2 linked regions of the Notamacropus eugenii genome follow. The protein of the gene in region 1 purifies or fractionates together with the protein of each later gene. This does not show direct contact. Links are inferred from orthologs where the notes say so. Each region holds a gene or a part of one and is shown in the gene's direction. Other genes may lie near its edges.

Evidence for each region. Proteins that work in one complex are often made in the same cells at the same time.
Region 2: the proteins of TNRC6C (region 1) and AGO3 purify together in Homo sapiens (affinity purification with mass spectrometry; 3 studies listed by BioGRID and IntAct, with this or other methods). This does not show direct contact. The link is inferred for Notamacropus eugenii from reciprocal best matches to the Homo sapiens genes TNRC6C and AGO3.

Annotation. Positions count from the first base shown.
Region 1 is NC_092873.1:319,097,492-319,105,246, forward strand, and holds the start of TNRC6C (trinucleotide repeat-containing gene 6C protein), read left to right. Parts: upstream 1-4,738; 5' UTR 4,739-4,872; coding exon 4,873-4,902; intron 4,903-6,224; exon of another isoform or gene 6,225-6,350; intron 6,351-6,679; exon of another isoform or gene 6,680-7,755. UniProt on the Homo sapiens protein: Plays a role in RNA-mediated gene silencing by micro-RNAs (miRNAs). Required for miRNA-dependent translational repression of complementary mRNAs by argonaute family proteins.
Region 2 is NC_092876.1:83,735,996-83,742,875, reverse strand, and holds the start of AGO3 (protein argonaute-3), read left to right. Parts: upstream 1-3,861; 5' UTR 3,862-3,942; coding exon 3,943-3,961; intron 3,962-6,880.

The DNA of each region.
Region 1 (7,755 bases):
CGTCTCTTTTAGAGGGCCATCACAATATTCAGTACATATTGCCTCTTACTTGGTTTCCCTGTTTCCAATCTCTATATCCTTCTACCAGGATCATCTTCTCAAAGCATATTTTGACTTTGTCATTCCACTGCTGAAAATTTTTTAATGATTCCTTACTCTCTACTGCTAAGAATGAGCTTAATTCCACAGTTTCTCACAAAAGCATGCTTCTTATGTAATCTATACCCCAGAAAATTAAAGTATTTTCAGAAGGGTCTGAATGGAAGGTAGCTTAGATGGTATGGTTGAGAGTTATGTCTGTATGACTCATATTAGGGTCGATTCTAGAGAAATAGCATAATGTTCTAGATTCATAAAAATATTAGCTATTGTCTATTAATCTTAGCCTTAACCTTACTCCTAAGGTTCCAGATTTCTCAGTCTTCCATTGAACCCCTAATTAGCCTCCCTACTTCCAATTACTCCCCTTTCTAACCCAAGTTCCACACATCTGCCAAATTGATATTCCTAAAGCACATGTCTGACCCTGTTCCTATCCCTCTCAAGCACTCCAGTGACTCCCTATTGCTTCTAGGATAAAATACAAACTCTTCTACCTGACATTTAAAACGCTTCACAGTTTTTTAACTCCAACCTATTCTTCTACATTGATTTCTCAATAATCATTCTAGCCAAAGTAGCTTACTTGTTAGTACATGTATTTGACACTCCACCTCTTCACTCCAAGTCTTTTCACAGGCCCAGGGTCATATATCTAGTAAGTGTTTGATGGCTGGATTTTTGAACTCAGGTATTCCTAACTCAAAATGGAGTGCTCTATCCACTGTATCACCTACTGATTCTAGGAATAAGTCTAAAACTTAGCTCAGTTCCTACATGGTATTGGTCCCACCAACTCCATATCCTTCTGGATGAGTTCTTCCAATGTACTGTAATACCAAAGATCACTTCAAAACATCATTCCTTGCTCATAAGGCCATCAATACTTCAATAAGTGCAAAACTCAGCCTGGATTCCTGTAGATCACTCTCCTGAACAAGAACTCCATTCCCTTCACTTAGAATGGGTAAGAAGAATGAGAGAACCGGGAATGACTAAAACAAGAATGTTAAGAACAAAAACAGAGGCCCATTTTGGGGTTGGAGGGAAAGGGTATGTGACATATGGCCTCAGAGCCCTTTACTACATGGTCTTTTACTGAATGCTCTGAAAGAAACAGGCACTTAGCTTCCTCAGACACAAATGAAAGAAAGGGATAGTGGAAACCGATTCAGGCCTTTTTGAGAATACTAACAGTTCTAGATATGCAACCAACTGAAAAAAGCTCCTTCCAACAACACAATTACCCAACCAGAACCAGTTACAGAATGTTCATGTACGCTCCACAGTCTCTTCATGGCACTGTCCTTATATGTTGTCAAGACTTCCCCAGAAGTAAACTCCCTAGCATCTTCTATGTGGATAAGTTGCAACAGCTGAACAAGCTGAGAGAGTCTGTACATGTGTTGTCTCCCATCATACTCCTTTTAACTCTTAAAAGAATAATAAAACTAAAAACTTTAAATATTTAAAAACTTTAAAAAATAAAAAACTCTTACAGAATAATAAAATATCAGAATCAAAAAGGACCTAGTGATGCTAGAACAAAATACAGACATTCTTCCTACCATGCAAGAATTCCTTCTACACCTTTGACTTGAGCCACAAGAGCTCAGCTCACTTACTAGATGGTTCATGCCATTGTTGGACAGCTCTAATTACAATGCAGTATTTGCTTATATTAATGCAAAATCTGACTTCCTGCAATTCATACTTATTCCTTCTTGTACCATGGTTTGCAGTAATACAGAAAGTCTATTTCCCCTTTCCATGTAACAGGCCTTCATACATGTGAAGAAAGATATTATGTCACATTTATCGTTACTTCCGTACACTAAACATTCCCAGTTTTCTCAGTGTTTCTGATATGACATGATCTATAAACCTTTCACCCAGTTCATTTATATACAGTGGGAATATTACTTCTCTTGATCTGAACATTAGGCATCTCTTAATGTAATCTGAGATTACATTAGCTCTTTAACAGCTCTGTAACACTTTTGTACACATTGAGCTTTGGTCCACTAAAATCTCTAGGTCTTCTTTGCATAAACTGCTGTCAAACTGTACTTCCTCAGACTACACTTGGGCAATTGGTTGTTTTTAAGATGAAAGACAGGATTTGGGCCTGTCATTTTATTTTAAAAGATTTTTCCAGCTTATTTTATCAGCTAATACTTTTGCCATTAGGACTTTTAAGTCAGAAGTTGAAGGTATGGACTAGAGGAAAGAACTGCTGATAAAGAGGTAGGACAGTAGTAAACACATACCTACCTACTGGACAATTTTGCTTAGGAATTTCCCTGATAATTGATTCCCTTAGGAATTGCAGTATGTGCAGAACACTTACTAGGCTTCATGAAAGTCATACCAAAAAGAAAAGATATCATATTTGTCTTCCAGAAATTACTGTCTAATGAAAAGCTAAACAATTTACATGTTAATAAAAAGAGGAAGGGATTACTACCTCTATTTTAAGGAAGGGGGGAATGAGACATTGAAAAATTGAAGCCACATAGAAAAGGCATCTAATCAGGACAAAGTAGAAGTCTGGTCTTATGTTTTTCATTCTTTTTTTGGTCAATTTAAATTCTACTTATTTACAATATTAACACAAGTCAAACATAGGAATCTTCAAGAATTTCATAAGTTAGTTAATATTTTATATGGTTGAGATATGAAGTTGTTACATTGCCCATGTAGTAGAGGTTGAATTGGTGCCATTACAGACAACCTGAACCCAAAGCTCTCCTAGAAACTTACAGGAATTTCAGGGACAAAGAAACTCAACATCTGAGCAGATATTTGATATGGCAAAGTCCCTGACTGCTAGCAGCCATGTGGACCATGAGTGGGGAACCTGCGGCCTCGAGGTCACATGTGGCCCTCTAGGTCTTCTGGTGAGGCCTTTTGACTAAGTCTAAGTTTTACAGAACAAATTCTTTTATTAAGAGGATTTGTACTGTGAAGTTTGGATACAGTCTAAGGACTGCACTTGATGACCTAGAGGGTCACATACGGCCTTGAGACCTCAGGTTCCCCACTCCTCTAATAATTGCAGAAAGGACTTGTTGCTTTGATAAAGATGCAGAAACCCCTGCATAATTCCATGGTCCTTTTCTACCTACTGATAGAAGTGGTGGGGTGGGGTACTATTTCAGTAAAAGGGAGAGAGTTTTTATCTGGTTTTCTCTCCCTTCCATCTTGCAGATGGCATCATGTAACTGAGATTTCCATTATGGGATAAGGAAGGGCTTCACCCCAACATCATGGTGACCCCATTCACATGACAACTAGTGCAGGGAGACTTATCTGAGCTTGTGTTTGGGACCTTGGCTTTATTTTCCAATTTTGTTTCCTTTCCTTATTTCAGGTGAATAAGTATGTTTCCCAAGACGATTATATGCAGGTAAGATGACCTCGTGAATTCAAAGGTTCAAAGATCCTGGAAAGAACTAAATGATGGGAACAAGGAATCCCAGGAAACTACTCCAGAGTTTTACTGAGATTGAAAAGCAATAAGAGGCTCCAACTTGGTCCATTTTATCAGACTTGTCGAAGTGAACTGTAAAATGCCTAATAATCAATTCCACAAATGGTTTTATGGTTAGCCCTACAGATAGTTTGGTTTAATTCTTACTGTTAATGTGCCCTTATGAGAGTCTTTTGTGTTTTGGTGTGTGTGTGTGTGTGTGTGTGTGTGTGTGTGTGTGTGTGTGTGTATAAGAAATAAATACCCACCCTCATACAAGATTCATATTATGCATAGGGTACCTTTCTACTCCCCAAATTTGGGAAAATCCACCGTGTGAGCCTAAACCTAAGCTACAAGTAAATTTTCCTCCCTGTGGCCTTTCTCCCTCACTGGGCTTTAGCTCTAATAAGCTGAAGTGTGAGAAAAGAGAACCAGATCCTACTCATTAGAGACTGGATTCTCCCAGAACCGAACCCCTTTCAAACCGCATGTCTGGGTCCAGTGCAGATACAGTCCTTCTGGCTCAGTAGGTGTTCTTCAATCCTATACCCTCCTTTTGGGGAGTATCTTGTAATTGTATGCCAACTTTACAGAAACAGGAAGGATGTGAGCTCTTCGAGGACAAGAGTGAAAAGAAGGTGGATAAAATGGTGAGTGGAGGAATCAAGAGACGCTGTCGGGGTTCAATTCTTACTGACTGGTGAAGGTTTTAAGAAAGGCCACCCAGCAGAACCAGAAACCGGACAGCACCTTCGAAAGCTCTGGGAGAGTCTGAGTATGGATGGGAAAGGTAAAAAATGGCCCCAAGAAGGCAGGAGCGCCCGAAGCTCCCGGGAGAAGTGGGACTAAAGGAGGCACGAACCATCCTGCCCCTCGATTAGCGTTATCTCCTTCATCCGCTAGGAAGTCCTCAAAGATGGACAGTACTGTAGTCCCTCCCCGAAGCCTGGGGAGTTACCTAAGCTTTAAAGTAGTGCCTCTGAGCCCGGGGATGCGGAAAGGCGTTTGCCCCAAATGCTGTGCGAAAAAAATGGAGAAAATTGTTGGTTTCGTGAAATTCTTCCGTGCTCTAGCTGGAATTTAAAATAAAAATGCGGTGTTTCCATTCAGCAAACATTTGAGTGCCTCCTGCGTTCAATCGACCCTCTGCGAACAGCGGGGGAGGGGAGGAGGCGGCTTTTAGGCTTAGGACACCTCCGCGAAGGAGGCAGCAGCCGCGCCTAGCCCGAGTGCGGGCGCGTACGCAGACCCCGGGGTGGGCAGAAGGGAAGCGTGCTTGTGTCGCGGCCAAAACATGGATGTCTGCTCGGGGGCTGCTTGGCGTTGAGGTTGGTTTGAGCCGCGGGCAGGGAGTCGGGACTGGGTGGCAAGTGCATGGGGGGGAATGTACCTGGTGGGGTAACTCAGCCAAGGGGGCAGGGGGAGGCTTCCTTTGGGGTCTGTGGGCATGCATGCGTGTTCATGCGTGTGCATGGGTGATGGGGGAGGGGTTCGCGTGTGTGGTCGGCTGGGGCGGGGGGAGGGAACGTGCTTGGGGCCCCGGGGATGTGTGCTTTACTGGAGCTGCTGTACCGTCGCATAAATATCCTGCGCTCCACCTCAGGGCCCTTCTCTCCTCCAAGCTTTTGCTTCGGGGACCGTTCGGATCGATTTTAAATGGAGCTGATGTTGAGACAGGGCCTCCTCTCCCTTCCTGTCCAATGAGATAACACGGAGTCACATCACCAGGACGGGGCGGGGGAGTGGGGGGAGAGCTGGTAATGGAGGAAAGAGAGGAAGAAACTGCGTGGATGCTCCCTCGTACCCCGGAGGCGGGGAGGAGAGGGGAGATGGGGAGTAAGATGGATAAGACTCCTCTGGGCTCGCCAAGACCAGGCCGGTGCTACGGTTTAGGGAGGGGAAGGCAGGAGAAGGCGTGGCGTAACGCCGAGGAACCAGTGGTCGAGGGTGGAGGGGACGCGCTCTGTGGGCGGAGCAGGAGCGAGACCCGGGATTGGCCAGAACTTCTAGTATGCAGATACGGTGGGTGTCACGTGCCAGGGACCGGGACTACTTCCTGTTTGAAGCCGCAGAGGGGCGGGGAAGGGGGCGCGAGCGCCCCGTCTGGCGGGAGAGGGGGAAAGGAGGAGGGGGGGGCAGTTGTCTGAAGGGAGGGAGGGAGGGAGGAGGAGGAGGTGGTGTTCTTGTCAGTTAGAGCAACAAAATGGCCGCGGTGGCAGCTCCGCACCTCAGCGCGAGGGCCCCGGGAGCAGCAGCAGCAGCCGCCGCCGCCCAGCAGCAGTGAACACCTCTCATTGATTCCATCTCCTGTCCGCTGCCGGAGCTGTCTCCTCTCCTGCAGCGCTGTGCTGGACGCCCCCTGGGAGGCCCGCCCGAGCCGTGGGTGGGAGCGGAGTCGGCCCTGCGCTTGCCCGGGTCCGCTGCGGAGCTGCTTCGCCGCCGCCGCCGCTGCCGTTCTGCGGCTCGGGCTCCCCCGTTTGAGGAGGAGGGCTAGTCGAGGCTGCTCGAGGACCTGGACCTGCCCGGACCCGCCGCTGCCGCCTCCTTGCTCTCCCTGCCGCCGCCGCCGCCACCTCCCACCCGCCGCCCGGGCCGGACTCCGCGCAGGCGGGAACCTCTGCCCCTGGCCCCGGTGCTTGACTCCGAGGAGCGGAGAGGGCAAGGGTTCTTTCTGCCGCCGGAGATCCAGCGAAGCCCCCGGGCGGCTCCTGACAGGTTTAAGCCTCCTGCGTTGCCGGAGCCGCGAGCTGCAGCCGCCGCTGGGCCAGGAGCCGAGGTGAGTGCGGCTGGACCCGGGGATGCTCCCCAGGCTGGGAGCCCTGCGCACCGCAAGGTCCGACCTCGGGAGCCCCAACTTGCTCCCAGATGCCGAGAATGTCTTTGTTCGGCCAAGTTGAGGTGTCTGGGTGGGAGGTGCTGGGTAAGCTGCTCGCGAAGGTTGCTTTACCACAAGGATGTAATTCCGCAATTCCATCAGACGCTTGGGGAAAAGGGGGGGGAAAGCTGAGGTCTGTTGTGCTGGCATCACGGTTTTTCCTTTGCCGTTTGGCCAGAAACAAATGATCCCTGGGTGGATTTTTTTATTATTCACTCGTGTTTATTTAAAAAGCAGTGCTGGGGATAGAAAAAGGCATTTTCATTATTGTTATTTGGAAATGCGTTTTTAAATTTCTATGTATTGAACTGCGTTTATGGGCAGTTGTATGATTTGAATCTATCATTTACAAATAAAAGACGCCCTTTTTCCCCCCTTTTTTGGTTTGGCAGTATGGATTTGAGGAAAATCTGTTCCCATTTAAAAGAAGCCTTCACATTATAGACTCGCGTCGAATATAAAATTAAGGGAAACTGGCTTTTACATCTCGTTTGCATATGCATCGAGAAATTTAAAACTCGGATTTTATTTTCTGATGATGGTGATCTTATTGCATATCCATCTCTTCAGGTGAATTTCCTAACGGCATTGTGGGCAGCAAGTGATGTATATGAGAAAAGATGAGCCGTGCAACATCTGTACTGTTAAAAGATAACGTTACTCGGAGTACCTCAATTTCACTTGTTTAAGGAACATTTGTTTCCGCTTGTGATTTGTAAATAGGATTTTAAGTAATTGATCCAGAGCTATTAAGCACGCATATGTAAGTGTAGGATTTCCTGTTTTAAGATACCACTTGTGTGTTAAAGTGAAGTTTGGAAATAAAGGTTGTTTATCCAGTGAACGATTGGAGTAAATGGAGTTTTCTTTTTGGTGGGTAGCACCTATCATATTGTTCTTTGACTGTGATTCTGTATGTAATTAGTTGAATTGTTTCAAATCTTTGACAAAATCCCAACTAAACCTCCATTTGAATGATCTACTATTTCCAGATGTGAATTACAAGTTCGGAACTCAAAATGGTGTACAAATGTCTTGGTAAGTGAAGTGCCTTCAAGGAGTGCTACATCAGGTGTTTAGTAGCTTCTGAGTGGCATATATTGTATTGCCATAGTTTGGCTTTTCCTTCAGTATAGGTGTACTTCAAACGGAAGAGATGGCTATTTCTGGTTATTATCATGCAGATGATTTTTAAACTTCAGAAAAGTAGGACCTTCCTTAAAGTTATTTCAAATGTTTAATTTTGGATCATCAAGAGCAATGTGAATGCACCAAAAATGTGGACTCTTGTTAAGTTTCCTGTTTT
Region 2 (6,880 bases), on another chromosome or scaffold:
GGGTCCACTTTGGCTTCCTGATCAGCCCCTAACCTCTCTCCCCAGCAGAAATATCCCATATTTTATAAGATTTCAGGGATGTAGGATTAGGGAAAAGGACCCTAGCCAGATCTTGGAGAAATACTGTGTGAAGAGCTTCTTCTTTTTTTTTTTTTTTTAAACCTGCTACAGGAAAGAATCTTAGGAATTCTGTATCTCCAGGTCCTAGTATGGTGAGTAGCACATATTAGGTGCTTAATAAATGCTTTTTCATTCTTTCAAGGCAAGCATCAGCAGTTGGACCCAGGGGAAGAGGAATGAGTCTACTCCAGATCCAGTCCCAGCCCCCATATAGTGGTTGAAAGATCCCATGTTCAGTCATCTCAGGGCCAGAGCCTGGCTCTTGGGGGACTGGGCGGGGGGAGTTGTGTGTATGTGATGAGAAGACACTTTGATATGTGTCTATATAAAACTGTTAGCTGCAGCTATCTGGTTATCCCCTCCTCATCTCTCCTGGGCACAATGGGCATCTTGTTGGAAGCTGAGATGGTTTAGTTTTCATAGGGCACTCAGCCTAGTCCCTATTTTACCATTACTTCTGTTTTCTGTAGTGTTCCTCTTGGGTTAATAACATGCCAGTGGGAAGGAGGAAAGAGCTGATATCAGTAGGTGACTGCTGCTGTCAGGCTGGAAATAAGGCTGGGCTGATGTAGCTTATTTCTTCGGTTGCAATCACAAAGTTGGAAGGAATTTCAGAGTTTAATCCATACCTAATTGAGAGTTACTTCTTACACTATTTCCAACCAATGGTTATCCAACTTTCTTACTTAAAGCTCTCAAGAGAAGAAGAACCTACTACCCAACCAGAGTCCGCTCATTTCACTTTTGAATAGATCTTATTGTTGGGAAATTTTTCCTTATGACCAGTCAAAATCTGCCTCTATAAATTAGTTCTAGTTCTGTCTCCTGGGACCCAGCAAAATAAAATGAATTTCTTTGCCACTTGCCCTCCCCTCTAAGTTTCTTCCCTGTAGTCTAGCAACCCACCCCCAGTCTCAAAGTTTAGGTGGTGGGAAAGCAGACACTTGTGTTTTTAAGGCATAGTCAGTTTAGCAGATTCACCAAACAGCCACTTCCAGTTTTGCTTTTCATTAAAAAAAAAATGCCTTTGAAAACTACCAGTTCCTATCCACTTCATTTCTATTGCAGAAAACTAAACATCTCAAAAAATCAGTTAGAAATTTAATTTCAAGAAGTCCTTGAGGTCTATCCTCTCTGCCTGAAGTGTGAGTCCTTCTATTTGCTTGGATACTTCAATACCATTGTATTGTAAGCTCATTGAGGCCAGGGACTACTTTTTGTTTTTGTAACCCTAGGACCTAGTACATAGTAGGTACACAATAAATGATTTTTGGATTAGATACTAAATTCATTATTTTATTGCCATGGACTTTCTTTCCACCTATACACAATTTAATTCCTCCATCTTAGTGGTCTATTTCATGAACTGGGGTTATCAACAAATTCATCACTTGATGGTCAACCCTACAATGAATGAATGAATGATGAACTTCAGCTTTACCTAGATTGGATCCTGTGTGACAAACAAATACATCACTAGGCCTGTCCTTGAAACCTTTCTAGTTTGGCAGAACCTTCCAGGAGCTCATATCCTGCTGGTGGAGCCTTTGAAAACTCAGGGTCACCTTCATGCCACAATAAGGCATCCAAGGTCTTTGTGACTCTGTTCTGAAGACCCTCCCTGGTGACCTGCCAAAGAAGTGCATTTCTTTTTTGAATAGCTCCTGTTGTTAGCTATAGTACTTCCTTTATCTTGAGCTGACTCCTGCCTCCCGGTAACTTTCACCTCAGTCCAGAAAGAATAATCTTTCTCACGACCTTCAGGAATTTGAAGACAGCGATACTGTCCTCTCCAACCTAAACACCAAATGGTGGTGGTGCTACGGTCCATTAGTCTAAAGAGGCCGAATTAAACAAGTTATCAGTTTAACACAAACTCCCTATGCCTGGAATCCAGGGATTCCATTCTAGGAGCCAGCTGGTATCCAGCAGTCACAACCACTCTCCCTTTTGCTAAGACTCAGAGGCATGACTAGGAGAATGGGGAATCCTGTAGGGAAAGAGATTCAAAGCCATCAACAGTGTTCCATAGTGGAAGTGTAACAACAGGGAAAAGATGACTGAAAGCCTGGAGACGGTCCTCATTCTGTGGTAGAATTCCAGTCCGGTGCAGGTGCTGTATTTCCCAAGTTCCTTTTCCCAGAGGACCAGCTTGGCCAAGGGAGGGGTGTGTTTTTGAAACTCCCTCAGTCACTTATTGCTCAATCCAAGATTTTTAGTTAAGAAAAATTAAAAGTTGGTATGTGGGGGTGGGAATGGAGAACCGCGACACTGGGGTAAAAGGGCGGTCGGGTTGGGTTGCCAGCGTCTATCCCTTTCATTCCTCTTCGTTCCAAGAATGGGTTTTGAGGCAGCAGTTCTCGTTCTCGGAAATGCTGCCCCCCCCCCCCCCCTTTTAGGAACGTTTGAGGGAGCCGCTGATGGATCCGTTCCTCCCAATTCCAGGCAGCTGAGAGGATCAGAAGAATTGACCGTGTTGTTGAGAAAGGGGCCTTAGTTTTTCCATCTGTAAAGTGACTAGATGAGTCGGTCCCTTTGAGCGCTGACATCCACGCAACAAGCATTTATTAGGCGCTTACTATGTACCAGGCGCTGGGGATTCGAGGAGGAAAAGAGAAGCCCGCTGTACTCCTAGCTTCCGTACAATTACTGAATGTATAGGATGACCAGGACCTGCCAAAGTCTAGGAATTGGCACCGGGCCTAGCACACAATAAGCTCGTTGACTCACCCGCATGGGGGGGGCGGGGCCGACGTCTCTCTCCGCCTAAGAGATGACTGAGAGGAGAAACTGTCATGGCGGCCCTGCCTTGGAAGCTCAGGGCCGAGGCAAGCTGCTGGGTGGGCAACGTCCTGGGCAGCCCAGCCAGGCGCGGGAGGTGGGCGGGAGACCGTTAAACGGCCGGGCAGTAGCAGTTGGTGGAATGTTCCTGCTACTCAACCCGAAGTGTAACTGTATAAACGGTGGGGGAGGCTCGGAGCGTCCAATCAGAGACGTGAAAAAGGTGACAGACTTGGCCACCAGCCAATCCTGAGGCCGTGGGCGGGGGGAGCTGTCTGAAAAAGCTACGTTTCCTCGCCCCCCGCCTGTCAGTCAGCAAGGAGCAATGGGAGGTCCTTGGAGAGCTCCGCACCCTAGGAAGGCCACGCCCCCAGAATTTTCCTTTTTCCGATTGGCCCCGGCACACCTGAGGACGACGGGACATGCCCCAAGTTGCTCAGGCCTGAGGCCTGGAAGCGAGGACACACCCCCTCCGTGTGTGCCCCTTCATTACCATCTGCTCCGCCCCTACCCACACACCCATTCTCCACTGCCTTCACCTCCGTCCCCGCCCTTCTCCGGCACGAGGAAATCTGGCTTCCTGGAGCTTCGAGCTCCGCCTCCTTTTCCCCTCCCAGTTGCGGGGCGTTAGAGCGCGCGCCGGAATAAAGTATTCATTCAGGGTAAAGGGCGGCTAGGCAACGGAGGCACCGGGCTGGAACTGGCTGCGGAAGTGACGTCGGAGGGCTTCCGGGGGGGCGCCGGCGGCGAAGTCGGCGGCCGCGGCGGTTGAGCGAGTCCGCTTGCTAGCGGCTGCCGGCGACGACGGTTCGGGACGGCGGCTCCTAGCTCTCCCGTCCAGCTCGTGTCTGACGGCCTTTCCTGCGCTGTTGGAGCGGCGGAGCTGAGGAGGGCCAGCTCGGGGAAGGGGCCCTAGAGGAGGAGGCGCCGCCGCCCCGGGAGACTGGCGCGCGGAGCGAGCCGCCACCCACCTCCTTTCGTCTCCTCCCGAGCCGGAGCGGGCCCAACTCTCTCCTAGAGCAGCCCTGCCCAGCTCCATGAATGGAAATCGGCCCCGCAGGTGAGTGGGAGCCCCCGCCCCGTGCGCTTCCCTCCATCCTCCGGGAGCTCTCCGCCCCTGCCGTGAGCGTCCGCGGGGCTCCGTGAGGGTGTATCTGTGTCACGCCGCTCGCGGTGGACGCCAGCCATCTCTGTGACTTTGTGTGGGGAAGAGCCTCGTGTGCACCCCCCTGCCCCCTTGTCCATCCTGGCCTAGGGGGTGTGCCGACACGGAGCAGGAGCGTGTCAGCTTTAGGAGATGCTCCCCCATTCATTACTTTGTCTTCTGAAGGGACATAGTTTGTCCGCTAGACGAGGCTGCGCAAGTGACTTGTTTTTAGACTCCTTGCCCGAATTGTCAGGATTAACGAGAGAACGAATGTGTTGAGGTAGCTTTGAAAAAGTGTATACACTGCTAGAGAAATACGAGGTGGTAACTTGTTGCTACTGCTCTCCTCCTCTTAGTCGTTACCATTGCAAAGTGCTTTAAAGTTAACCCTTTAAGCAAATCAATTTAGGTAACTGTGGGAGTGCCGTGGTGGCCTGGCGAAGACGGAGTCCCTTGGGAATGTAGAAAGAGATATGCTAGGCTGGATAAGCTCCTTGAGGACAGGGAGCAGGGAGCACCGTTCTTTTGTTTACGTTTGTATCTCCTACGTTTAGTTTAGTCCCATAGTGCCTGACACATAGTAATCCTTTAATATGCGTGGGTGTGGAAACTGTTCTAAAAAAGTAGTGTCAGTGATAATTTGTCGTCACACTGTTTATAACATTTCTGGAGATTTTGCTTTGGGGGAAAGTTGAAATCTAAGCAATACTTTATCCACTTTTATTCTTCCAAAAGCCATTTGTGTAGGACATTAAGATGTAAGCCCAACTTGATTTGTTTTCTAAAATGATCATGTTTGGCAAATCTAACTTTAAAAGTATAGTTCAATTCAAACACTTAGAAATTAATTTGATTTACTATTTAGATAATTATCCTAAATGGAGCTACAAATTGTTGAGCTTTGAACTTAGTCCTTGCCTGTTTTAGAAACAGGAGAAAACTTGAACAAGAAGAAACCAACATTATAGTAAAGCCAAATTGCTACATTTTTCTGGGCATGGTGCCCACTATAACATCTAGCAAATACAGAAAACATTCTTTTTCAGAAAGGATTGTGAGGGGGAAAAAGCCCTCCATCTCCAAATTCATTGATTACAATTTTTCTTCTTAAGATGCTACTTTCTTACTTCTATAACATCCTGTAAAAGGAAGCTTTTGTTTACCTGGGTTTGTGCAAACTGCACCATCTTTTACAAGAATTTTAGCACTGACCTTGAAAATCAGGAGGGTCTTGGGTTCTCTGATACTGTCTGAGACTATGAAAATTCAGTAAGCATTTTATTAAGTTTGAAGTAATATACCTAGTACTTGTGCAAAGATACTAAGACAAAAAAATTCCTTTCCCTCAAACATCTTGCTATATTATTTTAAGGTTTGCAAAACCTTTCACACACACTATCTCATTTGATCTTTAAAGACAACCTTAGGAAGTAGGTGTTGTGACGTCTTATTTTACAAATGAGGAAACTAAGGCTCAAAATCAACAAATAATAAGGGCCTACTGTGGCCAAAGGATTATGCTGTAAAATAAGGACAATATCTGCTGTACCTGCTCCCGTTCTTCTGAAATATAAATAAAATATGAAAAATAATTTGAAAATTTTAAAACTCTATGTAAATGTCAATTATATCTTGTATATTATGTTTTCTTTATCACATGGTTTTTAATTTAGCCCAGTAGCAATGTATGATAGCCTTACCTTTATAAGTCATTCTGAAACAAATTTTTTCACTTAGGGAAAAGAAAATAAAAGGGCTTTTTTTCCCTTGAAATTTTCTCTGTACACCCTTTTCCTCTTCCTTTTTTTGAGCCTTTACATATCTGGACTCACCCACTTTGATTTTTCTGTTTCCATATAAAGTTATAGGAAAGTTCAGGTATAATCTATCTTTTTAAAAGAATTCCTCAAAATATTTTCTCCTACTTTAGCCTTTTTGCCCAGAAGTTCAATTCAATGCAAATTATACTGTGTTCTTGCCGTTTGAATAGTTTTACTACTAATGCTGAAATACATTTTCATATTAGTGAAAGCAGAGGTAGTTAATTTGTACTTTGTCCATATGCTTGAGCATCTTGAAATAGAGAATCACTTTATATGCTTGGCTCTAGCTAGTTTGTAAATTTATTATAACCAAGTAACTAAAAATAACCATAACATTGTTTTAAAATAATCATCTTTCGTTGTTATTAATAAAACTATTCCTTAAATTTTTAATGATGGGGAGTATGACAACTCAATAGCAAGTATTTATGTGACACTTTAAGGTTTGCTTAGATGAAAAAGGAATACTGAACCTCAAAAAAGTTTGTGAACAAGAACTCGGGATATGTAGTAGAGAATATATTGTATTAGAATATTTAGATGTTAGAATCCCAGATTTTCAGAGTTGAAACCAGGACCCCCCAAGACCATTTAGTTCAGTAGTGTCAAACTCAGATAGAAATGGGACCACTACAGAAGAATTCCTGTGGGTTGTATATTGACTCAGAAAGCCACATATCAACATTATTTATGTTCTGTTGTATTTTTTTTTATTTTGCTCAATATTTCCCAATTACATTTTAATCTAGTTCTAGCTGCACTTGAGAGTGTTGTATTCCACCTTCAGGTTCAGTGTTTGAAGCTTCTGATCCAGACTAATTCCAAACCATCTGAACAAGAATCCTAGCTTCCAGCTTCAGTGGTCACCAAAGTGTTAGAGTAACCTATTTGGTCAATTTTCTGCTTTAGAAGTATAATTTGAGCCCCCCCCCCCCAGTTATGTGCTAATATTATTTTTCTGAATTTCTGAAATGATCTGAAATAAGAATCTAGGGCATGAGTTAATTGT